Linked DNA regions of Rhinolophus ferrumequinum. The protein of the gene in region 2 interacts with the protein of the main gene of each other region in a pairwise test. Links are inferred from orthologs where the notes say so. Each region holds a gene or a part of one and is shown on either strand. Other genes may lie near its edges. The genes, in order: SENP2, KASH5, RNF146 and JAGN1.

What was found.
Region 1: the proteins of KASH5 (region 2) and SENP2 interact in binary tests that used the Homo sapiens proteins (3 or more experiments, as listed by UniProt). The two-hybrid records come from large-scale screens. The link is inferred for Rhinolophus ferrumequinum from reciprocal best matches to the Homo sapiens genes KASH5 and SENP2.
Region 3: the proteins of KASH5 (region 2) and RNF146 interact in binary tests that used the Homo sapiens proteins (3 or more experiments, as listed by UniProt). The two-hybrid records come from large-scale screens. The link is inferred for Rhinolophus ferrumequinum from reciprocal best matches to the Homo sapiens genes KASH5 and RNF146.
Region 4: the proteins of KASH5 (region 2) and JAGN1 interact in binary tests that used the Homo sapiens proteins (3 or more experiments, as listed by UniProt). The two-hybrid records come from large-scale screens. The link is inferred for Rhinolophus ferrumequinum from reciprocal best matches to the Homo sapiens genes KASH5 and JAGN1.

Annotation. Positions count from the first base shown.
Region 1 is NC_046285.1:59,833,708-59,840,932, forward strand, and holds the start of SENP2 (sentrin-specific protease 2), read right to left. Parts: upstream 3,020-7,225; 5' UTR 2,807-3,019; coding exon 2,706-2,806; intron 1,074-2,705; coding exon 1,018-1,073; intron 1-1,017. UniProt on the Homo sapiens protein: Protease that catalyzes two essential functions in the SUMO pathway.
Region 2 is NC_046298.1:44,556,719-44,564,165, reverse strand, and holds the start of KASH5 (protein KASH5), read right to left. Parts: upstream 3,009-7,447; 5' UTR 2,928-3,008; intron 776-2,927; 5' UTR 681-775; coding exon 638-680; intron 1-637. Other genes in the region: DKKL1 (dickkopf-like protein 1), read right to left, coding at 4,915-5,226. UniProt on the Homo sapiens protein: As a component of the LINC (LInker of Nucleoskeleton and Cytoskeleton) complex, involved in the connection between the nuclear lamina and the cytoskeleton.
Region 3 is NC_046286.1:75,588,620-75,595,608, reverse strand, and holds the start of RNF146 (E3 ubiquitin-protein ligase RNF146), read right to left. Parts: upstream 3,020-6,989; 5' UTR 2,907-3,019; intron 2,870-2,906; exon of another isoform or gene 2,738-2,869; intron 787-2,737; exon of another isoform or gene 761-786; intron 1-760. UniProt on the Homo sapiens protein: E3 ubiquitin-protein ligase that specifically binds poly-ADP-ribosylated (PARsylated) proteins and mediates their ubiquitination and subsequent degradation. May regulate many important biological processes, such as cell survival and DNA damage response.
Region 4 is NC_046300.1:44,053,327-44,061,017, forward strand, and holds JAGN1 (protein jagunal homolog 1), read right to left. Parts: upstream 3,022-7,691; 5' UTR 2,909-3,021; coding exon 2,820-2,908; intron 1,161-2,819; coding exon 698-1,160; 3' UTR 193-697; downstream 1-192. UniProt on the Homo sapiens protein: Endoplasmic reticulum transmembrane protein involved in vesicle-mediated transport, which is required for neutrophil function.

The DNA.
Region 1 (7,225 bases), on a different chromosome or scaffold from region 2:
CTGGTATCTATCCTATACTTCGGAAAATACTGTCCTAATGAATTTGGATATTCCTGACATTCAAAATCCTCCATAATCTGACCTCTCTTTTGCCAATTTTTTTCCTGAGTTCTGTTCATTATTTCCTGAATTGCATAATTTTCCAATACTATTCCCTCTACCTAGAAAGTTTTTCCTTCCTATTGTTCTCTGTTGATATCCTATTCATCCTTCAAGACCCGTCTTACATACTAGCTCCTTCAAATATTCACTGAAACTCTTAACCAGCTGAAAATTGGACAGTATTTTGTTACAACTTTTCTTATTTCATTTTTATATCCTCACTGACATTGGTATTATTTATGTGCTTGTCTTATATCCCCCCCAGATAATCATATACCCCTATAATTATAAGGTCTTTAATAATATAGAGATCTTGTCTTACTCATTTTTCTATTTCCTGTAGAACCTAAGACACTACTTAGCAATAAGGACACTCAGTAAGTACTCATTGGATTTAAATGAAATCTTAATACAGATTTGTTCACTCTTAATGACCACATCTAGAGGTAAATCTAAATTCACATGCATTTCTGAGAAAGAATATTATTATAGTATTCCATTGTATTCCTTTTCCCGTTAATCTAATTTGATTCTCTTCTACCAAGCTATGTCTAGCCCTTCAGATTATAGGGAAGTAAACAATCTGAGGCAACATATTAGATTGGTTCATTCAGCTGTTTGACTGGGTGACTCTGTTTGAAGTAGTTTTTACAATGTCTTCTCCTCAAATTTAAAAACCACCTTTTCTTTATAGGAAGATTAAGAATTTTAAAATGTATGTTCTACATATAGGCTTATCTATCTGAAAAGATACTTAATTCCCTGGTAACAATGGTTACCTCCAGAAAAGATAACTGAGCAGAAAATGGACAGGAAAGACTTTTCATTGCATATACTTTTTACCTTTTAAATTTTATTCCAGGCATATACTTTTCCTACTAAAAAAAATGAATTTTTAAAATTAATATTCAATACCTAGTCTTGGTCTTTTGGCTGGTATCTCATCAGTGTCCACTGTAGAAAACACAGTGCTAAAAAAAAGAGAAAAAAAATATATATATATATAAATGCATATATACGCGTATAAGAAGCCTTAACAGTTAACCAGAAAAGCTGTTATATTTAACTGCATTTTTTTCACATGGAAACTATGTTACAGTGGTAATAAAGAATTTAAAAATTCAGAAAGTTATTGGACCTATACTTCTACAATGTTAAAGGGTCATGGTACACTACTAATCACCTTTCTAAAGATGATTACAACTGATGATATTTACCAAAAAAAGTGAACAGAATAAATCCCAGGAGAATACCACTGAGTTCATTATTTTGAACATCCCAACGAGAACTCCTGGCTTCATTTTGACTGGAAAAATGGCTCACACTGAGAAGCATTGTTTTTAGATCAATGATGTGTGGTAAAGAACAGGATTTTTTTTACCTCCAAACTACTGTCTCCCTGACTAGCAGGGATTTGTAGCAAAAAGAGAACAGGGCAGAACAAATTAACATTCCCTTATTCAGTGAATATGTACCAAGTGCCTGTAAATATGTACCAAGTGCCTATCATACACCAACCTTTGCAGGAGGCCCTCAGGGTAGAATAAACAACTACCCTTCTCATATATAGTATTAAGCATCATTCTAGGCACTTTACAACATGTTCTCAAATGATCCTTATATCAACCCTACAGAAAGGTGGAAAGGAAGAACAAGTTGAAACCTTACCCTCTTGGGAACACATAATGGAATTTAGCCAACAGTCAATTTCATCAATGACCTGCATTCTCAGACCCGTGTATTAATTATCTTATTCTCTCAAACTGCAAACACCCACCTTTCCCTGATAGGGAGGTTTAGTAAAATAATGAAATTAACACTTGATCACTAAAAGTTGGGAGGTGTATAGAATTGGTATGATATTTTATTCTCTAGATTAATTCTAGGCAAGGGGGTATTCACTATGAAATGGGACAAGCCAATGGGTACATGCTAAGTAAGAAGAGCTTTTAGTTTGCCCCAAATTTTAACCGAATTTTAGAGTACAGACTAGTGATGTTTTTAAAAGAATTAGGTGCCTATTTTTTTTCTCATACCCTAATTCTAAAGCACAGAACCACTCTCCCTCCCTCTCTCCCAACACACACACACACACACACACACACACACACACACAGTTTGACAGCTGTTTCAGAACAAGACAGCTGCTGTTTCGGTGCTAAGGGAACAGTACTTGCAGTCAAACGGCTTTGGGCAAGATATCAATCTCAACTGCACTCATTGCCCACAGATGACACTTGGGAGGGTGCTTTGTAAACAGTGAGCCAAAACACATTTTTCGGTTGCAATCTAAGAGCGGCAACAAATGATACCCATTCGATGACAGGAAACAGCGTGGACTCGGACAAGAATATCCAAGATCCTAACCATCACCGGCCGCTCCGAAGGCAACTAGCTCTTTCCATCAGGAAGAGCCGCATCCACACAGGGTGGAGGAAGCGACTACGTCACCAGGCAACCCGCGACCCGCACGCCTGCCGCCTCGGCCCAGTGACGCGTTTCGGCCGAGCGGGGCCTGCCCGGCTGGCTCAGCGCCATCGCGGCCGAGCCCGGGGTGGGGGAGGGGGGCACACAGGCCCGCACTCAGCCCCCTCTCCTCTCACCTGTTCGAGCGCCGCCTCTTCAGGGGGGCCCGGGCAGGGGGCACCGGCCGGTCACAGAAGCGGAAAATGGTGCCGAGGATCCTAACCAGCCATTTGTACATACCAGGCCCAAGCAGCAGCGGCGGCCGACACACCCCGAGACACAAACCCCAGAGCTGTCGCCGCCGCTGCCGCCTTCGCCGCCTCAGCCACCACAGCTAAGGTTCAGTCGCCGACTTGTGACGCGATCCGAAGGCCCACAGATACAACGTCCCCAGGGCTACCGGAGGCTCCCGCGAGCAACCGTTCTTGACGTCACCTCCTCCTACCCGACCGGAAAGCACCTTCCTCCTCAACCTGCGCACGCGCAACTTAACACGCCCCCCACTTCCGAACCTAGCAACCAGAATGCCGGCAGGACGGTAGTGGTCCAATCCTGGACGAGAGCGAAAGGGCTGTGGGCGGGGTTTTCTTTTCGGCGGACCCAATCCTGAGCCGGCCCGCGGGACAAGGCCCACAGGCTACACGTGAAGCTTCTCCTCCTGGGAGGGAGCGCCCCGGGACTGAAATACAGTAAATGTTTAAGTACACAAAATAAAAGTAAGTTAGGTTAATTAACAAATGTTTACTATACGAGGAGCCCTTTATTTTGCTTCTGCCTTGCACTTGACATTCATTGTCACCTTCGTTTCTCCCAACCGCAAGCAATGGAGAGAGTCTTGTCCCATTTTTAATAAATAAGGAAATCGAGGCATAGAGCGATTACGTTATTTGATTAATGTCACTAAGCTAGCTAGTGCCATAGCTGGAATTTGAACCGGGATCTGAGAACCAGCGCCAATCCCTCCCTTAAGATCTACTGACAGAGACAAATTACGAGATAACTGGCTGCTGTGATAAAGGTGTGTACAAAGTGCAGTAGGAGCCCGAGAAAAGAAACCCACACGCTGAGGGAAGGGAAGGGCAGAACTCCAGGATGGCTTTACAGAAGCTTAAGAATGAAAAGGTACCTGTGGCTCACTACTACCTACTAGTCTCCCTGTGGGCTGGCAGGGAGTGTTGCCAGCCCAGGGGGAGACTAGTAGGTACAAGTAAGCCACAGATACCTTCATCACATTTCTGGTATCTAGAAGTCACATTTCTGGTTAATTATCAACAACAGAAAAAGTCCTACCCTACTTACTGATAGAAAATCCCGTCCCACTCCCAAACAATTCTGGGAATATTCAAAGATTTTCATGCCCCACAAATCCGTCCTTGACTGCACTTGATCCTTACTTATGATTAAATTAAGGCCAGACTTCCAGATTTGCTTAAACTTCAACATAGGCACTCTCCAGTACAGCAATGTTCCAGAATTCTGCTGCAAGCCATCCCCTAGAGCTCCAAAACCACCAGCTACCCACCTATGGCTACCACCACTCTGGCTTCGGGCGTGGGTGTGGGGGCAGGCAGTTCCTAGAGGGTGGAAACAAATCCTAAATGTGGACATAGCCCCTCTCTTAATTCCCCAAAGCACAGCCAACACCAGGATGTTACTGGAAGTTTGGGAATACTGTAATAGGGGAATTGCAAAGCCTCAAATAAGATTTAGAAGTGGCTATTTTAAGTATAGCATCTATAGCCCATTGCTTCCCAAAAGGACTCTTCCCTGGCTCCCCCACCCCAGGTCATCGCTACACTCTTCTCAACAAAAGAATCCCCCTCCACCTCTAACCCAACCCATTTCAGGTGATTCTGTTAATCTAAGACTAACATTGATATTACTATGCAGAGCAATTCTGCTGTGTCCCAACTGTCCACTCCATTATGAGAGCTGGTCCTTGCTTTTGCCAAACCAAGAACATCACTCAAGTATTGGGAAAAGAGTCCCCAAAACACAAAAGCAGTCTCCATTCAAAAAATAAATCATAAAACTATAAGCTGCTGTAGAATATCAACTCCCAGGTTCTGACCACCGAGATTTAAGAAATATTAGCATCAAGTCTCAAAGTACTCTAGTACGACACCACATGTTTCATTTTTTCTTTTCCTACCTCAGCTATAGCACCTGCACATACCCAATACTGACATGTCAATCACCCACCATTAAAAGTGGGAGGGCTTTGGAATTACAGACCTCAGTCTAAATACCTGGGCCTCATCAGCAAATAGTAACTCATGAGTGTGTCAGCCGCCACCCCCACCCCCTGAATACTTGCACTCGTTTTGTGTCGTTCTACTGTCTCCAGTTGACCTCTGAAATGGAGAAAAGAAGGGGACTCAGCCTTACGGTCGCTCCTGCCTGGGACCTGTCTGCCCATTGATGCCTTCGCTGCCCTGTCATCCACAGTAGAGGCATCAGGCACTGCCCATCCATTGGTCAAAAAGTGGGATTATCCTTAACCCCACCACTGCCACAGCCATTCCCGGACCCAGAAACCCCACCGGGGGCCAGAGTTGAATCCCAAAGCCAAATGAAGTAACAAGGACATTGATATTTCTGCCCCTGGTTTGGATAACTTGCATCCTTGTACCACCACAGGGCCACAAGCTCATCGCTTAAGTTTTCAGTAGGTATCTTAAATGGTTGCCCCAGTTTTCTGAAAAGACGTCTGTCTGTTTCTAGGTTAGATCCTCTCTTTCAAGCCTTTCCAAGGCCCAGCCCCTCTTCCTCTAACTGGTACCTCCCCTCCACAGAACAATGAAGACCCAGTTCTCCAATCCATTCTTTAGTCTTACAAGTTTTCACTTTACCATTTTCCTCAGAGTGTTAAAAGATTTCCTTTCAACTTTGTTTTGGCTGACCCCTGAATAGAGTTCCGAGCCATTTGATGGAAGTGGGAAGGAGGCCACAAGTGAGATGTTCTTGGTTTCATCTTAACATACCTAAAATCTAACATCATTCACCACCCTGAAGATTCGTTTTCTTCTGGAGACCAACTTCTTTGCTACTCAAGAAAAATGTGTCCTCCTAATAACATAATTTTGATCTTATTCAATCTAATAATAACCTTGGCCTTATTATCCAAAAGCAAGTGCAGTTTTTCTTGTCCTAGATTTTATTATAAAATATGCTCACATTGACTACAAGTGGCTTGGCCTGCCTCGTGAGGAGAAATAATAGCACCAGACCCTACCTAAACTAGTTTCCTAATCTGTAAAATAGAGTTAATCAAACCTGCCTCTCAGATTTATGGGCTGATGAAATGTGTTTACATATGTGAAGGCCCAGCATAGCTAAATTCTTCATGTTTCCTTCCCCCTCCTTACTTCTCATATCTAATAAATCATTTAACTTGCCGGTTCTGCATCCTACATTTCCCACAGACCTGCTCCCTTCCTTCCCTTCTCCAAAGCCAAAGGAATGCTATCATTCAGGGCCTGGTTATTTCCCACACCATTGCAATAGTTACCTCCTTTTCTACCCAGTCCCTCTTCTGTGCTATTTTCAGAGTGATCTCTCTTTTTTCATCCTTTTTGTTGTTGTTGTTGTTTTGTTGCCTTTTGTTGTTGTTAAGGAAGGCAAATTTATATTGTTGTTCTTATTCAGTAAGAAAAGTAAATTTATAAATTAAATTTCTGGTTTCTGTTACTGAATCACTAAAATTGACTGGGGTGATTTCCACCAAATTCTAGAAGGTTTGGGGAGTGGTCTGACTTAAATATGGGGCGACCCTAAAATTTACTTTGGATAGCCCTAGGGAGTACTATGAAAAGAGAGAGGCAGTTATCTTGGTGACCAGCCAACACAGAGGTGCAACCAGAAGAGAAGGATGCCACCAGATGAGAAAGACCCTGCTGATTTAGACAGCAGGAACCCCTTGTAGGGGTTGAAAAAATAATACTTCCCTCCCACTTTCTAAATTTTTCTAGCTGGGCTAATAATCAAATAACCAGAGACAGATTAACAGAAGAAAATTAAATTTTTAATACACGTACATGGGGAATTCACAGAAACATTCAAATTCCAAAGACAGTGAGGTGAGATTAGGTATATATGTCATTTTGGACAAAGGATAAAAAGAGTGAGTAGCGTCTGAGATTTCAAAAGTGCGAATGCATGAGTCACAGGTAGTTGAGGAAGAGTGGAACATACAAGGCAGGTAAATGTTTGCTAGGCAATCCAGAAACAATGAGATGGGATAATCTAGTAAACAGCCCCTGTTTTACACCTTCCCATCCACCACACTCAATTTAAATTAGGCTGCTAAGGGGAACATCCTATGACTTCCTTACTGGAGTGGGTCTTTCCCTCTGAATCTCTTAGGCAGGAGAAGATGGAGGGTCAAAGTTTCTTTCTGAGTCATTTCTTTTTTTTTTATTTTCTGAGTCATTTCTTAATAAGCAGATTAAAACTCAATATCCCAAAAGGGAAAACTTTTGGTCCCCTTCACCCTCAAGTGGTTCACGATGTTTCCAAATGGGAGCCCAAGGCAGAAGTCACAACAATAGACCTTCCAAATTATAGGGGTGGATTTGTCCATAGATTTGCTCCTCGCACAGACAACTCTGTGTGCATGCTCCAGGAAAGGGTTGTCTGACGAAGGTGCAGAATTCTC
Region 2 (7,447 bases):
GAAGACTTGTAAGAAAAAAGAGAATATCTCCAATACATGTTTATACTGATTATACGCTGAAAGGATACTACCTTTCTACTTTAGGTTAAATCAAAACTATTATTGCCATACATTTTGCCTGTTTCTTTTTTCTTTTAAATGTGCCTGTTAACAAAATTTAAAATTACATATACAGCTCGTGCGTCAGACAGTGCTGCTCTGAGAACTGGAAAGACCAGAGTGAATAAATAGCTGCCTGGTGGAGCTCCTGCTCTAGTGGGGGAGACGGAGACTGAACAGCCAGACAAACCAGTGTCAGTGCTATGAAGAGATGTAAAGCGGGAAAGAGGAGAGAGTGACAGGGCAGCTGCGCTACAGAGAGATGAGAGCTGAATGAAGACGGGTGAGCCCGTGGGTCACCGGGAAAGGGTGCTCCAGGCAGGGGACACAACAGGCACAGGCTTCTGCTCTGGCCTCCTCAGAGGAAAGGGGACAAGGGGCCAGACAGGTAGGCACACAGCAGGTTCCTTCCCTCCTACCCTGCACCAAGGCGGAGCCTCAGCCACCCCAAGCCACTTCTTCCAAGTCACAGCCTGGCGCCTCTTCACCCACGGCTCCCGCATCCTCCCACGGGGCAAACGGGGGCCCAGCCACCTACTTTTTGTAGCAGGGCTGCCTTCCAGGCTCTCTGGCAGGTCCATGGGACACCCTCCTCGCTCTGCAGCTGCTGCTGATGCTAACAGCCTCCCTCCATCACTGGGAAGGACGGAAAACGGACCAGCTGCCTGGAGAGCTCCTGGAGGAGAGCAGGGGAATGACCTCCTCAGACCAGCCACCCCAAGTTGGGGACCCACCTGTGCCCCAGGCTGCTCTGGGCTCTCAGAACCTGTTTGCCCACCCCTGCCTCCATCACAGCAGCTCTGGCTCAGACCTACTTAATGGATTGGCGGTGGGGGCTGGCAAAGGGGGGCTGGAGGAGTGAGTGGCACAGATCAAAGGGGGCCTAATGAGTGGGGGTCACTGCCTCCTCTCCACAGCTTGTCAAGTCCCCAGCCCTGTCCCTCCACCCCAATGACTCTACCCCGTCCCCTCCTCTCCTTTCCTAGGGCCCTGGCTCAGGCCTCGCCCTCTTCCCCGGGCCCTCATGCCAGCCTGCTTTCTGGCCTCCCAGCCTCCAGTCTCCCACTTTTGTCCATCCCCACCGGGCCCCAGAGCTGACCTGCCCCTCCCCTGTTCAATACTCTTCCATGGCTCCCTAGCATCCCAGGGACAAAGCCTCGACCCTGGACCTGGCGAAGGCCCGGCATGGCCTGGCCCCGCCTGCCTCTCTACCCCAAACCACACTTGCTGCTCCAGCAACTCTGAACTGTGCGCTGCTCCCCAAGCCAGGCTCCCTGTTCCCACCTCTGGAACACCCTACTTCCCAGTCCTTCCTGTCTCAGCTCGCAAGTCCCCTCCTCTGGGAAATGTTTCTGAACATTTGTCTGTGGGGTCCCTCACTGCCCGGGGCTACTGTCAGCCCGTATTTGGAACTGTCGGCCTCTGACGCGAGTTTGAGCCCATCGCTCCCCTGTTCGCAGCCCTCCCATGGCTCCCTAGTGCCCTCAGCACTAAGGCCTAGCTCCTCTGGCTAGTGTGGCACAGAATAGTCCCTGCAACTCCTTGCTTTTTATTTTTTAAATCACTTTTCTCTCCACTGGCTGACCTCCAGGCCCCTCGCCCTCATCCCGACCGTGGGCATTTAGCATCTTCCCATGGTCCTCCCAGGCCCAGAACATACCACACACACCGTCTCCACTTGTGGCCCCTGCTTTGGCCCCCAGTTCCCTGGGGAGGCTTCCGGAGTCCTCGGAGCAATTAGGGATTCCCTCCTCTGTGCCCCAACCGTGTCCTGTCCTGCCTCCATTATAACCAGGTTGACCATAAGACTTCTTGCCCCAACTCCAGGATACTTTCAAGAGTGAAAGGGGTGCGATTTAATAATTACACTGGACAATAGTGCCCATCACACTTGAGTACGCTGGGGCAAACGGTCAACACAGGGCGGCCGGGGACCTGCCCGTCCTCATCCCACCTGCTCAGCCCTCCTGTCCTCACCACCTACTCCCCACACCCTGCTCCCCGGGCGCCAGATGGGTCCACTGCTGTGGAGGGCACACTTCCTGGCGACGTTTAGAACATCCTAGAAAAAACGGTCTTTGAAACGAGACCCTTCCAGGGTTTGGATACTGCTGGGGCGCGCAGAAGGGGGTGGATGGCCCTGGGGCCTGAGTGGAGAAGGGTCCCTTTGAGGGTGCTGAGAGGCACTGGGAGCTTCTGACAGGGTGTGGGGGACACACTCCTGGTGAGGGACTAAGATGCTCTGGTCAACCTCAGGGGCCTCTGAGCGGGAGATTCTAGCAGGAGGACCCAGGCAGGAATTCTGGGGCTTTTGAAGGGGGATCTGGAACTTAGGGAGTCTCTGACTGGATTTCTGGGTCTCTGACTGGTTTTCAAGAGGATCTCCCACTGGATCTCTGAGTTTCTGGATTTCTGGGGAATCTGACGAGCTTTCTGGGGGATGTATGAGTGGATTTCAGGTCTCGGATATTTGAGAGGGGGAATCTAACAATTTTTGTGGGTTCCACAAGATTTCTGGACTTGGGGGGTTTGATAGGATTTGGGGAGGGAGCGTAACGGGATTTTGGGGAGGTCTAGGGCAGGGAGAAGACTGAGGGAGAAGACTGACAGAATTTCTAGAAGATTCTGACAAAATTTCGAGGATCTTCTATAAGATCTCCTGGTAGCTTCCTTTCAGTATTTCTGAGGGGATTTAGTCAGGATTTCAGGACTTTTAAGGAGACCCCTGATACTGGGGACCCTGCCCTATAATTTGGGGGCTTTGCCAGGATTTCGGGAGGGGTTTTGACAGAGCTAATCTGGGGAACCTCGCTACAGTCAGAGCGCACCTGAGGCCGAGGGCCACGGACGACGAACGGCAGTTGCCCAGGAAAAGGTGCCAGCGCGCTATTCCCACCGGAAAAGCAAAGGGAGGGGGCGGGACCGAGAGCGCGCTTGACGTCTAAACCCCTGCGCGTCTGGGCCCCTCCCTCAGCGCAGGCGCACATCGGAGGAAGGGGCGCGCTAGTTGGGCCGGTACCTGCAACTGCGAAGTTGCGCATGCGTAGGACTTCCCCAGCGCGCGCCCAGACCCGTGGAGCGGGCGCATGCGTGTTGGCCAAGCAGGTGAAGGCTGGCAGGATTAAGGGAGGAGGCGGCTACGTCCCCTGTGCTGGGGTCTTCTCTGCGGCCCCAAGATTCGGTGAAATAGGCCCAAGCAAGGGAGAATTGGCTTGAGAGACCCCTTGTTCATCCCCACTTCTTATCAGCTACTAAGCCGTGCTCGTGATGCCATCTGTTCCGTGACATGACAGTCTGCCCCTCACCATCACAATGATGTCTTGTCCTGTCCTGCCTCACCACTCCCGCGCCCTTTTGTAGCTCCAGTTAAGATGTATTAATAAGTCCCCGAAGGATTCTTCCCCAAACTGTTTCATTTACTCCTTTTAGGAGAGAGTGCGGAGAAAATATTCTCGCTTTTCTGGCTGGAGAGAGGAAGAGAATTACATCCAAAATTGAAGATCCTCCCAAGGAAGAGCATTTGGGACAAACGCGGTCCCACCCACTCAACCTCTCTGCTAGCCCACACTATCCACTTTTTAGTGGTCCTCATGGAACGTCTCAAAACGTGACATATTCTATATTTGTCTACTGTCACCCCCACTGGAATGTGACCTGTGTGCAGTAGGAGACTGTTTTGGGGCTAGAACATGCCTGGCTTGGTGTGGACGCTAAACAAAAGAAAAAGTTGAAGGGACTGAATCCATGCCTCTTAAGTACTGGGCAGTGTAGCGTGATGACAAGGTGGTGGGCCTGGAGTCAGATATTCTTAGGTTTGAATTTTGGCTCCACCACTTTCTAGCTGTGACCTTGGTACAATGGTTTACCCTCTCTAAGCCTGTTTTCCTTCCAGAAATGAAGATAATTGCTTCTTAGGTCACCTTGAGGACTTAAGGTGGTAATCCTTGTTATTAATAATTGATAGTTATTATTTTGGCTATTAATGGTGGCTTGTTACAAGGCCCGGGAAAAATCCTGTTTGGCAGGTGACGTGGTGAGTGGTTAAAAGAGATATTGAATCGGACAAACCTAGTGCCATTGCTGTGTGACTTTGGCAAGCGACTTCACATTTCTAAATATCAGCTTCTTCTCTAAAATGGGGACAAAAAATATCCACCTCATGATGTCTTACGAGAGTTCAATAAGAATGTTTGCCAAGTGTTTTCTTAGCACAGGCTGGCATGTGGTGGACCCCATTAATTTTATTAACATAATTTATTAGTATAATGGTATTATGTCAGTTTATTCCTTCCATATTTCTTGTTTCTTCCTTTTTTGAGGTCTGGGTAATTTTGTAATCCCTGAAAATTTTTTTTAAGAAGTTTATAGTGTAATGGTAACATACATAAAGTGCTAAATCTTAAGTTATAGCTCAATTAAACTTTTATAGCTGTCTTGAGTGCTTAGATCAGTGATATTTTTAGATTATTGATATTTAATCTTTGTAATATATGCATTTAAGGCCATAATTTGCTGAGACATTCTTGAGCTATATTCCACAAGTTTATGCCACCTTTCCATTATTATTCAGTTCAAAATATTTACTAATTTGACCTGCGCATTATTTTAGTGGTATATTGCTTCATTTCCAAACATTTTATGACTGTCTAGTTATCTTTTTATTGTCGAAACTTGTGATGGCCTGGTCGGCTGAGGTTTGGAGACATATCCTGAAAGGAGACAGTGCAGCTAGCTGTAAGAAGAAACTTTATTTCCATATGATCCTTGGGGTAGGGTCTAGTGGGGGTATATGCAGGTGTTCCCCTGTTCCCACCCCTATAGCTGCTGGGAGGGCCTGAGAATGTATAGGAAGTGGGTGTTTCGGGCAGGCAACTTGGAGTGGGAGGAACCTTGGGTCCCCTCTTCAAGGACGTCTTCTCGGGTCCCTTCACGGAGCCCGTCCCGGATGGCCTGCAGGCGGTGTCGCTTCTCGCTGAGCCAGTGGCCACCCTCCTGGGCACCTTGGTGGGACCTTCGTTGTGGCAGCTTCATGATCCAGAAGGCCACTCGGGAATGGGGCTCCGGGTGGAAGCTGTCCATGGCCTTTGGGACAGGCACCAGGGCTTCCTTGTCCTCTGTCTTGGGTACCTGGGAAAGAGGGACAAGGAGACCCTCTCAAACTCTAAATGACAACCTCAGGATGCTCAGACCCCACTGGCATATTCCATTCACTTTGTCACCTACAGGCCATTTTGGGAGTTAAAAACTCAGTTTGCAGTTTACAAAGCACTTGGATTAATAAGCGCTTTTGGATTCAAAAATACTCTGAGGTTTATGGACTACTTTGGGATTGAAAAAAATGCTTTGGAGGTTTCAAAAGCACTTTGGGGTTTAAAATGCCGGTTGGGATTACAAAGCACTTCAGGATTAAACATACTCTGAGGTTTGGAAAGCAGTTTGAAATGTACAAAGCACTTCGGGATTAAAAGCTCTTGGCTTTACTAAAGAAGCATAACCACAATTGCTACATGTGCTCCTTGATTGAATCCTGGTCCAAAATCAAATCAGCCTTACAGAGAGCTTTGGGGCCAGTAGGGATATTTGAATATGGTCTGTTTGGTCCTTGCTGCTCAAAGTGTGGGCTGTGGACCAGTGTCATCTGAGAGCTTGTTATATATGTAAATTATGGGCTGCAGCCCACTCAGACCTACTGAATCAGAGTCTGCATTTTAATAAGTTGAGGTCTGAGAAGTCCTGTAGGAGATTCTTATAGGTTGAACTGTGCCTCTCCCCATTCATATGTTGAATTTCTAACCCCCAGGACCTCAAACTGTGATTTTATCGTATTTCCCTAAAAATAAGACCTAGCCAGACCATCAACTCTAATGCGTCTTTTGGAGCAAAAATTATAGTAAGACCCAGTCTTATTTTACTATAAGACCGGGTCTTAATATAATATAATAAATATAATACCGGGTCCTATATTAATTTTTGCTCCAAAAGACACATTAGAGCTGATGGCCCAGCTAGGTCTTATTTTCAGGGAAACAGGGTATTTGGAAATAGTGTCATTACAGATTTAATTAGTTAGGATGAGGTCATCAGGGTGGCTTCTAATCTAGTATGGCTGGTGTCCTTATGCACAGGGGAAATTTGGACACAGAAGCGCAGACAGGGAGAACGTCATGAAGATGAAGCAGAGATGGAGGCGATGCATCTACACACAAAGGGTCCCCAAGGACTGTGAGCAAAACACTACACGGTAGGAGAAGGACCCGCCCTCACAGCTCTCACAAGGAGCTGACTTTGATCTTGGACACGTAGCTTCTAGAACCATGAGACAAAAAGTTCCTGTTATTTAAGCCACCCAGTCTGTGTGGTACTTTGTGATAGCAGCCCTCCCAAACAAATACAGAGATAATAGCTTGACATCGATATTAAACTTCTTGGGTGTAAAAATGGTACTGTGGTCATGTGGGAGAAGGCATTCTTCTTAGGAGATATCTGCTGAAGGATTTAGGGGTGAAGTGTCAGGTTGTCAATAGCTTATTGTCATATGGTTCAAAAATACAAAAGTAAAAATAAAGTAAGTGTGGTAAAATGCTAACAAGTGGTGAAGCGAGGCCAGTGGTTCTCAACCAAAGTCTGGAGACATTTTTGGTTGTAACAACTGGCCAGGGTGGGGGTGGTACTTCCCTCTAATGGGGAGAAGCAGGGATGCTGCTAAACATTTGACAGTGCAAAGGATGGCCCCATGTACAAATAAAACAAATATTATCCAGCCCACAAATGACAATGGTGCCAAGGTTGAGAAACCCTGCTCCGTGAAAAAGAGAATACAGATATGCTTATAGTACATTTTTCCCCCAACTTTTCTGTAGATTTGAAATTTAAAAAATAAAAAACGGGGTGTGTATGTGTGTGTGTGTGTGTGTGTGTGTGTGTGTGTGAACCATATGGGTTTGTCAAGCACTTGGCAGTTCTTAAAAATTTTTAGGATAAAAAAGCAAGCACTTTGGGGTTAGAGTCACTGAAAGGTTTACGAAGGTGAGAGACACAAAGCATTTGGGGTTCATAAAGCACTTTGGAATTAAAAATCACATTTTGAAGTTTACAAGGGGGAGATTTACCACTTTGGGATAGATTAAAAAAATATTTAAAGGTTTGCAGAGTATTTTGAGATAAAAACACTTTGAGGTTTGTGAGGGTGAAGTGCACCAAGCACTTGGAATTAAAAGCACTTCTTGGTTTACAAAACCCTCTGGGGTTTACTAAGCGAGTGGAGGGATGTACTCTAAGGTTGTATACCTCATTACTGAGAGCTGGTTAGTCCCTTTTGACAGACGACAAAACTGAGGCCCAGAGAGAG
Region 3 (6,989 bases), on a different chromosome or scaffold from region 2:
ATACGTCAAACCTTACAACTTTTGATATACAAACACCTCCCAAAATAAAAGCAATGGCTGGTAAAAGAAAGAATAGAGAGATTGGCTGTAATTTAGCAGATACATTTTAGTATTTCTTAAGAAAGAGTCCCAAATTGAGAGCTGTAATGTAAGTAAATGCCCTAATGTTTTCATTTTTAGCTTTCCTTCTCATGCCCTGTTAAAATTCCACTTAGAAAGCACAGGGCATACTGGGAAACAAAAGCCTTCCATAAAAACTCATTTCAACTAAATGGGGTCCAATGCTTTATTTTAAATAATTATTCCCCTTACTGTATAGCAAGCACTTCCCTTAAAAGACATTACTGGATGGCAATCTATGGCCTTCATAATCTTCATACTCAAGCATTAAACCTTTAAATTTCGCCCCCAAAATTGTGGGCTTTGCATTTTAGTTTAACAAAACATGAAATGTGAATGTGAACAAATATAATCTTTTAATCATATCAAACACAAGTTTCATAGTCTGCAGTCATTTCGTAAATAAGAAAGGCTCTGCTGATAATTATCTGCGTGACCTCGGTCAAGTCATAACTCCCATTCACGTCTTAGTTCTTTCACCCTATTCTACACTTCTATAATTCTAAATTATAAATATTTTAATTAACAGTCATTTAACAACAGGTTTTGTTTTAATTAACCCAAAAGGTAATATACACTAAGTAGTCCATAAATAAGCACAAGTGGTTGCAGCAGAACGTTAGTAAGGTGGTTTCCATACCCACAAAATTGTTCCTAATCCATCCAGTTGGTTCCTTAGGCACAATCAGAAGCCAGGAAAAGGCTCAGCAGCTTGTTACTAACACTGGAAAAAAAAAAGCATTAAAATATCCAACTGACAGTGTATCAGACATTTCATGATAGTAAATGGCTAATACATAAAATAATATTGTCTAAACAGATCAATATTGTGAAAAAATGTAATACTTCCTTTTTCTTCTAAGTCAGATGGTTTTTGGATCCTTTAAAAAAAAAAATCTGCCCAATTCTTCTTACAATTCAAGTTGGTGTAAACTGAAACAAAATATTTTACCAGTTGACAAATGTCTCCTCAAAGAAAAAACACCATTTTTTTCCTTCCTCTTGTCTAATGACCAGCTCTTTGGAAATATAGTTTTCCTGATGATTATAATTCTATCCAATTTTTTCTTAACAACCAGTAAATAACAAAAAAACCTAAAAATGTCTACCATTATTTTCATTTTGCCCACAACTCACATTGGCTCATTTGAAACATAAATTCTAAATCAATAATCGGGCTTAACAAAATGTCCCAATTTAAGATATACACAGCTAAAACAAACATATTCAAAATCTATTTCTAGAGTGGCTTTCACTCTTCTGGTTTTCTCTTTAAAATGAGATTTACCTGACCTATTTTCATGTGTTTTTAAAACATCCAGGCACTTATCACAAACGGTATTTGCTGGTCACAAAAACATCAAAGCCGGTATCATAAATCCTGTGTGTGGGGTCATTTTCTTCATGCGTCCTAGATACCACAGTCTTTTAAAAATCTAAATATAGATTTATTTTTTTTTTAAAAAAAAGTCTTCCAATTTCTCTAATTATATACTGCTTTCAATGCCAATGTTATACTTTCACATACTATTTACAAAGTAAGAACATGGGGTGGGGGAAGAGCCTGAAATGTCAATCATACAAAGACAAAGCGTTTTCTATCATTTCTTGGCTTCTTCTCCCCTCAATTCGTTTCAACAATTCAAAAATATTACTTAAACAAAATGTAGGTATACCATCGAAACTTAAGAAATAAATACTCACTAAAATAGTACTTGGGAAAAGAAATAAAAATATATACGAAAACGGGTAATACAGGGGGAAAAAAAATCTAGTTGCCAGAATGTGTGTGTCAACTCAAAACAATTTTGCACCGTTTCTCTAGACGCCGGTGGAAAATAAAATAGCAACAACAATGGAAGACCCGTACTCTTTCCGACGGGATGAGGGGTAGGGAGAGAACTGCGCACCCAACAACCAGAAGAACAAAGCAACAGCCTCGGCTTTAAGATGCGCTGGGGTGTTGGAGGCTCAAAGGGTATTTAGAGATCTCTTAATTGTTCGGATGCTTTAATAACCATCAAAACGACTCTGATACGCAGCGCAGGGTTTAACTAAGACCAAGTGGTGGAACTACTCTTCGTATAAGGCAAGACCCAGACCCTGAGCAGGGCGTAGGGGAGAAGGAAGAGAAAGAAGCAGTCAAAGACACTCCGGAAAAAGACAAAATGCAGGGACTGTACACCCTGGATGAGATTTAAACCAAGGCCCGGATAGAGGCCTCCACAAGGGAAATAGGAAGCAGGATACCCCCCAAAACCATCGCCGCCCCTAAGTGTTGAGGCCAGAAGGTTCCCGGGTAGAGGCCTGACACCACGGCCGAGAGGAGAAGAGATGGATCTGGCTGCCACCAAAGGTAGCGACGAGGACCCCGGCGGAAGAGGCTGCGCAGTAATGGCCGCTGCTCCGCCTCTCGCACCCTGACCGTGACCAGCTCCGGGCCGTCGCCCAGGACAGGGGCTGCGGCGGTAGCCGGCAACGCAGAGCCCGTCACAGTCTTCTTGCCTGCGACACCAGCCACAGTGGGGGCGGCGGGAAGGGCTGAGCGGTCCCATCCCATCCCGCCCCGGGGCGGACAACCGCGGCCGGGCAGGCCCAAGGGCGTCCACCAACGTACCGGCCCCTGGCCCCGCCGCCGCCCCTCTCAGGCCCAGAACGCAGGGCTGACCCGGAGCGCGTTGTGGCAGGAGGTGACACCGAGGGCCATCGCTCCTCTTCCCGAGTCAGGAACCAGGAGTGACTGACTTCCACCCTGCCCCCCGCGAGGGCTTCGCCCCGACTCCCACCTCTCTGGCCACAGCCGCGGTGGCCTCGCAGTCTTTTCTCGTCGGCCTCGGAACCCGCAGCGGCCGGGGACGCGCGCGGCCGTCACGTGACCGCCCGTCGTGTCGCGGGGGCGGGGCCGCGCGGGGCGGAAGCAGCACCGCGCACCCGGGAGCTCTCGCTAGCCCCTCCCTACCCACTCTTCCCCTCCCGCTCGCTGCCGTTAAATCGTGGTGCCGGTTGCCTGCCTTTTCCTGCCTTTGGGGAGCTATAGTTTCGTTACCTGGATTCTTCTAACTGCTTTATATTTTGCTTTAGTTGTAACTGGGTATAAAGACTGAAAGTACGGGTCCCACAGAGAGAGAAAGAGATTTGGGGCCAAGGAAGTAAGACACGCACAGGACCAGCAGATGGGGCTGCTCAGAAACCCAGCTTCCAGACCTAGCTGGATTTGGGGTTGAAGAGCTCTTGGCGAAGTACTCCTTGTTCTCTTTCAAAAAAAGGTCCTCTAGGACGTTCCAGTTTATTCACCGTCTGGATGGTTGAGTAATTCAATCGAAAAAAAAAAAAGAATCTTAATTTTTGTTTTGGGCCATTTGTCTTAGGCATAGGAAGCTGGAGGAAGAGATTAATCAGTATAAGAATCTAAAACTAAAGAAAATGGCTTATTTTGTTGCATGCCTGTGGTTTTAAACATCAAAATCTAGGCAGTATCCTCCATTTCATTTCAGCATATACATTATCTTTTTCGAAACTGACTGTATTTTCTTCATTTGTTGTAAAATGAACAGGGCGGAAAAGCACGCTTTTGTCTTTTAAAAGAGTATATGTGAGTAAATTTCAACATTCCAGGCCAGTATCTTTTTACTGGCAATGCTATTGCATTTGAGATCTCATTAACTGTTTATTCAAGGCTGGAAGGTTTCAGTGTTCTTATATATAGAAATGTGTACATTTTCTTTTATTCCTCTGAAATCAACGTGTGTGTGTGTGTGTGTGTGTGTGTGTGTGTCTATATATATATATATAGAGAGAGAGATGTACTAGGTCAGACAATTAAGTTCTCAAACTCATCCTAGAAAAAGTGCTGCATTCCTCATTGCTGAATATCACTACGGTCATCTTTAAAGTACTCCCCTTGGGAAGTTATGCCCAGTGACACCAGGGCATAATCCACCCTTCAAAGCAATTTTGGAACTCTTTTTCTGGAATGCCCATCAGAGTTGTCGTCCTATTACCCTTGATGTCCTGAATGTCATCAAAATGTCTTTCTTTAAATATTTCCTTTATCTTTGGGTAAAGAAAGAAGTCATTGGGGGTCAGAGGTGTTCCAATGCAGTTATTTGTCTACTTGCTAAAATCTCCCTCACAGACAGCGCCATGTGACCTGGTGCATTGTCGAGATGCAAGAGCCTTGAATTGTTGGTGAAAAGTTTAGGTCGTCTGACTTTTTCACGCAGCCTTTTCAGCACTTCCAAATAGTAAACTTGGTTAACTGTCCAGTTTGTATGAATTCATAATGAATAATCCCTCTGGTATCAAAAAAGGTTTGCAACATCATTGCAACAAATTCTCGGACTTAATTGTCAGACCCTTCATGTCTGTGTGTGTGTGTGTGTGTGTGTGTGTACACACACATATAAATGTAACCAATTTTTGAAGAATGCTATCTAGCTCAGTGATGATTTTACTCAGGTAAGTAAAAGCAACATTTTTATAAATTCTTTAAATGTGGTATAAAATTCTTTAAATTCTTTAAATATTGAATAATTATTCAATTATATAAATATTGAATAAATATTTATAAATTCTTTAAATATTGAACCATATATTCCCCATCTTTAAACTTAATCCCCTATCTTTATGCTCTCCTTAGCCATCCAGTTTTACCCCACTATCTTACACACCCCATGAAGATACTACCAAAAATTTGATACGTACTTGAAGATTCCAGCTCTACGAGATAATACTACTATTAACTAACAATGTGCAAGGCATTGTTTTAAGTGCTTTACATGTATGAGCTCATAATAAACAGTGAGGTAGGTACTGTTGTTATTCCCATTTTACAGAAATAGGCTCAGCTGGGATTTAAATCCAGACAGGGACTGTAAGAATTCACCTTGTTCAATTCTTCATTTTATCAATTAATAAATAGGTATAACAAATTAAATGACTTGCTTATAATCTTTTCTTGTTGAAGATAGAACCGGGATCAGAACACAGGTATGCTTCCTGATCCATAAATACTTTTAATTTAGGAAAAGTTATTCACAGTTCTTCAGTTGTTCTAGGCACGTATTTTAGAAGTTTCACTAAAATAATATAATTTAGATTATGTTTATCTACCTATCCATCTGAAAGCAAGAAATGAATTAATCAACAGGAATCCCACTAAAATGCCCTACCAGGCTTCCAACCCTCTCAGCCACACCCATAATCGTGGTCATTTCAATAAATAGCTCCATCTTTCCTTATCCAAACCCATTTTTAATTCCTTTTGTTTATGTCCAGTATCCATTTTGCAAATAATCTGTTGGCTCTTCCTTCAAAACACACCCAGAATCTAACTATTGACCACCTCTATTACAAACAACAGCATCTCTTGTTTGGATTATTGCCATAGCCCAAAGCCTGGTTGTCTTGCTTCTGTCCTCCCTTTCCTTTGAGTTTATTCCCAATACAGAGGCCAAAGTAAACTTATTAAAAAGGAAGTCAGATTACACGACCCCTCTACTCAAAGTCTCCCATGGCTTCCCAAAACAAAGTAAAAACCAAAGTCCTTAATAGCTTTAAGACTCCCCTTATTACCTCCTTGACCTCACAAACTGCTCACTCAGCTTAGTGATCCAAGAACACTCTACACAAGGTCTCAACCTCAGTTTTTGCAGTTTCCTGTGCTTAGAACTTTCTTCGCCATCATGGCTTCCTCCCTCTGTTTGTGCTCAAAAGTCATCTTTTCTCTCAGTCCTCTACTTGCCACCCTATTTTAAATTATGACCTCTCCTAGTCCAGATATTTCTTATTCCTCCCTTTACTTTTTCTCTCTAATACTTATCGAAATGTAAGGGATCATTTAGTTTGCTTATTCATCTTATATATCTCTCTACACTAGAACACAAATCACTCAAGGGCAGGGATTTGTATTCTATTTTGTATCCCAACTGCCAAGAATAGCGCCTGACACATTTAGACAAGCTCCCTCTGAATATGTGCACACACATTTATATACCAAATAATATATAAATGAAGAAAAACTTCTTGTTATGTGTCAAGGCATACTACTGCATATATAACTTCTTGTTATATATGCAGTAGTATGCACCCCACCTCCGCCAGCCACCTGAAAGATACTGATGAGTTTTTATCTATGAATAATATAGGACAGCACTTCTCAACATTGTCAGAAGTGTTTTTAAAGTAATTGGTTTCAATAATTTTTAAAATGCCCAAACTTTCAAATGATTTACTTAAAGAAATCAGAGCCTAAAAAATTTAAGGTATGTCTGTAATAATGTTACTGTCACTGGCATTCTATTTTGCTTCACTGAATCAAAGATAAAGGAGTTGCAACAGACTGCTAGGAATTGCTCATCTTTCATAACCTAATGTCTGTTTCCCGCAAGTGTATAAAATGCTTTCATGAATACCACACATCTATCTCCAGGCACCCCTTTTCTCTGTATTCTCTCAACACTCAAAAATGTTTGATGTTATTTATTTTGCTTAATGATCAAAATATTCTTTTTGTTTTGTTAATATCTGGAGACATCCATGAAAATGTGCATGAGAAAATCATACGTGGTATAGTGGAAAATGTACTGAAAACCATTGATACATGTCATCTAGGGCAGTGCTTTTCAAAATGTTTTCTAGTGTTCTCTGGGGTCCTTGAGATCCTTTCAGAGGGTCCCAGACGTGAAGATTATTTCAATAATACTATTAAGATGCTAGCTGCCTAATACACTCTCATTCTCTCTCTCCAGCATACAGTGGAGTTTACCTAAGGCTACATGATATGTGATGTAGAAACATATTGAATGTAGATGCAGATATTAGAATTTGCCTATGTTTCTTAAGCCAGGCATTAAAGAGATTTGCAAAGC
Region 4 (7,691 bases), on a different chromosome or scaffold from region 2:
GATGAAATGTATGGCGCGTCCTGCCAATCAGCTACAGAGTGGCCACCATGACTTAAGTTCCTTACACCGTTCACTTCTCTATGGCCACCGCCAGGTTTCTCAGGAAGCTCCCACCTATCTCCTAGTGTCTAATGCCACTCAAGCAACGCATCATTCATTCTCTGTTAAAGCCCAAACACAAGGCACAGGGTGGACAGGGCAGTTATGACTTTATTGAGGTTTTTTAAATTAAAATGCTTCACAGTAGAAACCACAGCCTGCAGAGGAAGTAGCCTCCTAAATGCTTCCTGCCCAATGACCCACAGATTGAAGAATTTAGCTTATTCGCTATTTCCTTCCATCTCAGTGCCTAAGGGGTAATGGATGGAAGTGGAGAGAATGACCAAAAAGGGGCGAGGAAGAGGCTCGGTCTTAAAAGAAAAACCCTGAAGGGCCTCAACTTCAACTAGCTGAAGTTTGTCTTACAGCTATTCATCACCCAGTTCCAGCCATTCAGGAATAAGTTAAATACAGTTTTGCCACCTCAGCTGATGACAACAGGTGGAGCTTTCCAGAACTCGGGCCTCGTTTGCACTAGTTGCCAATATCACGGCTGCCAAAATCACCAAAGGAGATTTTAGGACAGCTCCTCTCCCGTCTCACTCCGCTCGGTGGGAGGCCCAGGCTTCGCCCCAGCAATCAGTCCATCTGGCAGGCTTCATTTACGCTTCTTCTCTTGTGTGCTGGTGAACCAAGAGTCTAGGAGCTTCTTGCTGTAGTATAACTGCCAGGCGTGTACTTGGACGGCCAGCACCAACACCAGGTACATGACGGAGACAGCAGAAAAACCGAAGAGGAAGCGGTAGGCCTTGCCATGGCGGTAGAGCTGCTGGGCAGCAGGGAACATCTCCATGCTGCCATAAATGAGGGGGGCGATGGAAAAGAGCCCCGTGCTGATCATGGAGAGCACCAGGTAGCTGATGTTGTTGCGGGGGAAGGAGAGGAGGCCCAAGAGCGAGGGCAGGATGCTCAGCAAATACGGGTACTCCCACTGATAGGGCATGGCCACTTGATCATGTGACAAGAGCCTCAGGTGTCCCACGCTCATCTTGGCAACCAGCAACAGCCATAAGACCAGATGCACGTAGATCAGCTTCTTGATTTCATACTTGAGGGTCACACTGTGGGGCAGAGCAGAGGGAGAAGTGCCTTGCATTCAAAATGTGCTGACCACCAACTATATGTCAGGCAAGTATACTGGACAATGAGATAGAAATGGGAATAAAATATAGTTCCTACCTAGAGGCTGGGCACAAGGAACACAGGAAGAAAAATAATTAGAAAACAAACTGAAGAGCTCTAGTTAACATACATTGCAAGTCACATGTGATGACAGGAAGCAGTAATCAATTCTGCTTGGGAAGCGATGTCTGAGAAGGCTATCTAGAGGAGGGTGACACTTGAGCAAGGCTCTGTGGGGCGGGTGGAGATGGGCATTCAAAGCAGAGGTAACTGCATGCAAGCAAGAAGGCTCGGATAGACATTTGTGTCCCAGGAGAGCCTATGGTGGGGTATGACAGGAATCTTAGAAGGGAGGGGAGAAGTGGGATATGAAGTTGCAAAGACTACAAAGTGTCAGTTTAAAGGCCAAAGTAACTCAGAGGAGTATTTAGAAAGATGACTTTGCACCGCAGGAGTATAGCCTAGAGGAAGGAGGTATTGGCAGGGAGAAAACCAGCTCATGCTGCTCATACTTCTCCAGCTAGTGTTGATTTTTCATCTAAAGGAGTATGCATTTCTTATTCTTCCAACTCTCACAGGTCCTAAATGTATCCTTTTCACATCCCAGAGGGCAGTTTCTGCTCTAGGCAGGCATGAAAACACTTGGGTTGTGAGGTATCCTTAGGCAAGGATTTTTAAGATAAAAGTCAGGGTCCAAAGAGCTTGTCATTCTTTAAAAATCTGGCGAGAAAGATGCAAAAAACATTCTGGAAGAGTTCAATGGATTTAAGGAAAGAAAATCTTTAAATATTTTTTTTATTTTTAAAATACTCATTATAGAAAGTGCGGAAATGTAGGGGAAAAAAATCAGTCACCTCTAGACTTCAAGATTCATTAAGCCAGGGACCTTTTCGTTTGTTGTTAATAAGCTTCTTTATTGAAGGTATAACATGCCTACAAAGACCACGTCTGCTTTTGCTCACTATCATATCCTCAGTGCCTAGCACAAAATGTATGATGGGTAGAAACGCAATAAATACGTATTTGTTGACTGAATAAACTAATGTAGAAATACTCCTTATGTGAGGGTGTTTATAAAATTCATTTTAGGTAGGGAAAGGCTGGCCTTTACGACGCTCATTCCCCAAAAGAGTCCGAAATGGAACACTCATCATGTATTGGGCAGACTCGTATTATGTGCTGGATCTTTTGCTACGTCCTTTATACAAATTATTAGCTCATTAATTCTTCACCCAACCCTAAAAGGTGTATTACTTTTTTCCATTTGCGGGTGAGAAAACTGAGGTTCAATTAAAAATTATGTCCCCGAGGTCACACAGCGGGGACAGCATCGCCGTGACTGGAGCCCAGGCGGGTCTGGACCCCCTCAAGTCACAGGGCGGATCAAGAGGTGGAGTCTATCGGAGCGACAGGGCTTCCCAGGATTGGGGACAGGCCGAGGGCCGTCGCGGGAGGAGGGGACTTGCCAGGTGAATCCGGGACTGGCTAGAGAGTAAGAGCTTAAGGCCGGGGGTATGTGGGGCGGGGGACGTTGCTTTCCAGGCCCTGCAGGCTCCGACTGGGGAGAAGGCCTCTGAGCGCATCGCCTCATTTCATACCTCATCTGGTAGTGCTTGGCGACGCGCTCCCGGTGCTGAAAGTCGCTGCCGTCAGTGCCGGCAGCTCGCGGGCCTGCCCGAGACGCCATTGGCCGAGTCACACGGACCCTCTGCCACCTGCAGATACCGTTCGCACCCCCTCAGCTCCGCCACCCCAACAGTCTTACAATGTGAGAACTTCCGGCCTTTCTGTCTCTGGAGGACCGACTCTATGGTCACTGCCCCCCTACACGCATGCGCACGCTTACGCGCGCGGTCTTTTTCTCGACCCGCTGGGGCCGCCCCTCTAGTGGAACGTGCCGGAAATTAACCCCGCCCCGCCCCTTCCACCCCCAGCGCTGGCATCTGTTTGCCTTCTACCTGTAGCGGATTCTCTCGCTACTCGAGCACTTTCACGTTCTTAAATTCTAATATGAGTTTAAGATGCCGTTGTCCCCATTTCACAGTTTGGCAGGGTTCTGTGACTTTCCTAAGAACATGTATCACACAGTCTCAAAGAATCGCCCCATGGGTTACATAATCGCTGCAAAGAGAATAGGGTAAGATTGCAGTGGAGAAACCTGGTGTGCACCCCCTCAACAAAGTAATCAAGGTTAACTTGACGATGGGTGGCCTGATGGCTCAGCTGGTTAGAGCGGGAGCTCTCAACGACAAGGTTGCTGGTTCAATTCCCACATGGGATGGTGGGCTGCGCCCCCTGCAACTAAAGATTGAAAACTGCGACTGGACCTGGAGCTGAACTGCGCCCTCCACAACCACATTGAAGGACAACAACTTGGAGCTGATGGGCCCTGGAGAAACACACTGTTCCCCAATATTCCCCAACAAAACATACACACACACACACACACATTAAACAATTTTTAAAAAGTTAACTTGACCACTAATTGATAGGTCGGCAGATTAAGGAATATACATGGTCAGGCGAATTAAGAAAATTTTTATCGTAAGAGAGAAAAATCTATAGGGCTGAGCAAAAGATGGCTATAGCCCGGGGCTGAATCTAGAGGAGATTGCAGCCCGGAGGGAGAGGGTGAGGAGGATTTTATAGGGGTTATGCTGACAGCGTACATTGTTAGAACAGAAAATGCTGACTGCCTGTAGTCAGTAGCTGTTTTGTGGCGTTTTCTGTTATCTCAAGTTTGGCTCTGTCTCAGGTGCAGGCCAACAGACATTTTGTTATTTTCTTGCAGACGTGGCTCTGCCTATAAGTCGAGGACTCTGAGACCAACATTCAGAGACCTAACACTAATGACACCTCGTGCCTCCTGATACTCTGAGATATTCCTGCCAAAGACCTGGATCTAATCATGAAGAGATGACAGATAACTCAAAATAACTGGACTGTACTTTTTAAAAATGTCAGTGCCATTAAAGAAAAATAAATTGTATAGAGGCAGAAAGTTGAATGGTGGTTGCCAAGGCCTTGGGGAAAAGGGAATGAGGAGTTGTTTAATGGGTACAGAGATGAAAAGGAAGACGAAAAAAGTTCGGGAGATGAATGGGGTGATGGTGGCACAAAGTGTGAAAATACTTAATGTCACTAAACTTAAAAAATGGTTAATTTACCTATGTAACTTTACTAACAATTGTCATCCCAATAAACTTTTTTTAAATGGTTAATTTTATGTTATGTACATTTTACCACAATTTAAAAATTAAACACATAAAATTTAAAATTATCTGAAAAAAGCATCTTTTTATATGTTTACAGGTCATTTGAATTTCATTTCCCTGAACTGTGTTCATGTTCTTTGCCCACTTTTCTACTGTTGGTCGTTTCAATTCACATACAGATAGAAGAGGGAGAAGACAGAAGAGAGGAGGGAGGGAGGGAGAGAGGGAGAGAGAGACAGGAGATTGGCCTCTTGTCTATATTCGTTGCAATGTATTTTTCCTATTTATTGCACGTATTTTGACTTTACTCATAGTATTACAAGTTTAACATGCAGAATATTTTTTGTAATGTAGTTGAATGTATAATTTTTTCTTTTTTGGACTTCTCAATTTTGAGTAGTAGCCAGAGTCCTTCTCCACTCCAAGGTGTCTCAAATGATTTTTCTGCACTTTTGAGTTGGAGAACCACGTGCAGACATCTGCCTCCCCCCTGGAATATGATCTTTTCTAAGAGGGATAAGAGCCAAATCATGTGTGTCCCCAGCAGCCCACTATGCCTGGCATAGTGTAAAAGCTCAAGAAATGCTTGTTGAATAAAAAAATTCCAACTGAGACAAAACTATCCACTTCTCCTACACACCTGAAGAATCCTCAGGTTCATGAAGCCATTCTCCCTCCCACCCCCACCCCCACCCCTCCAACAGATATTCTCCGGCTTTGGCTTGTAGTTATCTTTGTCTTCATTGAGTCTGCGGCTCATGATGCACCAGGTGTTCTTCAGGGCAAGACTGCTTGTGAGTCATCCATTCGCCGATCATGGGACACCAAGCACATGATGAACAGTCAATAAATGTTTGAGGCATGAATGTCCAAGGGAGGGGCCGAAACTCTTTCACTAGAACTTTCTCCCCAAAGTATTTGTTTATATGTACTTTTCTACTGGGTCTTGGTCTGCCTTAAATTTTAGTGATTTGTGTTCCTGTCTCTTCACCCTGCTCATTCCCTTCTCAAATCCTTTGCAATGATGTTTCCTTTGCCTTGAATGTTTCTTCTCCTCCAGGACTTCAAAAGACTGGCGGTCAAGCCCAGGCAGAATGCTGTAAACTGAATGTTTGTGCCCCCACCCTCACCCCGTAATACATATGTCGAAACCTAATCCCCATTGTGATGGTATTTGGAGGTGGGGTTTTTGGGAGGTGGTATTATGGAAGAGATTCCCTTGCCCCTCCATCACGAACCAGAAAGTGGGCCCTCATCAGACCAAATCTGCTGGCCTATTGATCTTGGACTTGCCAGGTTCCAGAGCTGTGAGAAATAAATTTCTCTTGTTTATAAGCTGCCAGACTATGGTATTCTGCTATAGCAGCCCAAATGGACTAATGCACTCCAGGACTTCAAAAGACTGCCTTCTCACCAGTCAGGATTTAGCTGAAAGCTCCCCTCCCCTCACACTTTCCTAAATTCAAGGCCAATCTAGCTCTCCAGTCATTTGCTATCATATCACTGTGTTTTGTTTTCTTTCCAGAACATCATTATCTGAAATTATTTTATTTGCATATTTGTTCATGGTAAGAGGTCCCCCTCCTTCAAGAATGTCAGCTCATTGAACTGTAAGACAAGGCTGTCTTGTTTCCTGCTGTATTCTCTGCCCCAGGAGGGCTGGCACATAGCAACTAATAAATATTTGATTAATGAATGCATGATGGTTGCTTGGGAGCTCCTCCAGGGAAGGATTTAGATCTAAATAATAATGATGATGGTGATGATAGTAATAGTAACTATTTCTTGAACCTGAAGAATGTACTAAGTTCTATAGCAAGTACATTTCATGATTATCTCATTTAATCTTCATGACAACCTATTTTTAATTCCCATTTGTCAGATCCCACTGAAGCTTAGAGGAGTTACATCACAGTTTAGTGCTAGACTGCTGGTTTTCAAAGTGGGGTCCCTAAGTAGCTGCAGCTTCAGGACCATGTAGGAATCTGTTAGAAATACACTTTCGTAGGTCCTACCCCTGGTATACCAAGTCAGAGCCTCTGGGGTGGAGCCCAGCAATCTGAACTTTAACAAGCTCTCCAGGTGATTCTGATGCACTAGTGTGAAAAACTCTCTGCTAACAGAAAGATGAGCTTGGACTCTTTTTGCAAACCACATTAAAGAAAAAAAAAAAAGGGTGGTCATGCCTCAGTTGGTTAGAGCTCGAGCTCTGAACAACAGGGTTGCCAGTTCGATTCCCACATGGGCCAGTGAGCTGTGCTCTCCACAACTAGATTGAAAACAATGAGCTGCCGCTGAGCTTCTGGAGGAGAGGCCAGATGGCTCAGTTGGTTAGAGTGGGCGCTCTTAACAACAAGATTGCAGGTTCAATTCCCACATGGGATGGTGGGCTGCGCCCCCTGCAACTAAAGATTGAAAACGGCATCTGGACTTGGAGCTGAGCTGTGCCCTCCACAGTTAGATTGAATGACAACGACTTGGAGCTGCTGGGCCCTGGAGAAACACACTGTTCCCCAATATTCCCCAATAAAATTTATTTTTAAAAAAACATTATTGAGATATGATTCACATACAATTCTTGCACTCAAATGTCCAATTCAATTATTTTTAATATGTTTACAGAGTTGTGCAATTATTGCCAAAATAAATTGTGATTAGATTAATGGATTACAACATTTTGTCTCATCTGAAGGAAAGCCTGGACCCATTAGCACTCCCCATTCCTCTCCCACCCCCCAGCACCAGCCCTAAGCAATCACTAACTTATTTTCTGGCTTTATAATTTTGCCTATTCTGGACATTTCTTACAAGTGGAATCATAAAAATATACATGTGATCTTTTGTGACTGGCTTCTTTCACTTTGCAGAATGTTTTCAAAGTTCATTCTTGTAGTAGCATGTACCCTTTTTACTGACAAATAGCATTCAATTTATGGTTATACCACATTTTTTAATCCATTCATCAATCGATGAACATTTGGGTTGTTTCTATCTTTTGGCTATTATTATTATTGCTACGGACATTTGTGTATAAGTTTTTGTGTGGACGTATGTTTTTATCTCTCTTGGAAATCTACCTATCTTTCTATCTATCTAGCACTAGAATTGCTGGGTCATACGATCTTACCCTCTTCACACTACACATTTCAGCTAGTTTTAGTCTCTGCTATTATTAAATAATTATATTATCAATAACACCAATTTCTCTTGTATCAATTAAATGTCTCTGTTGAAAAGCCCTTTAATTTTATTATC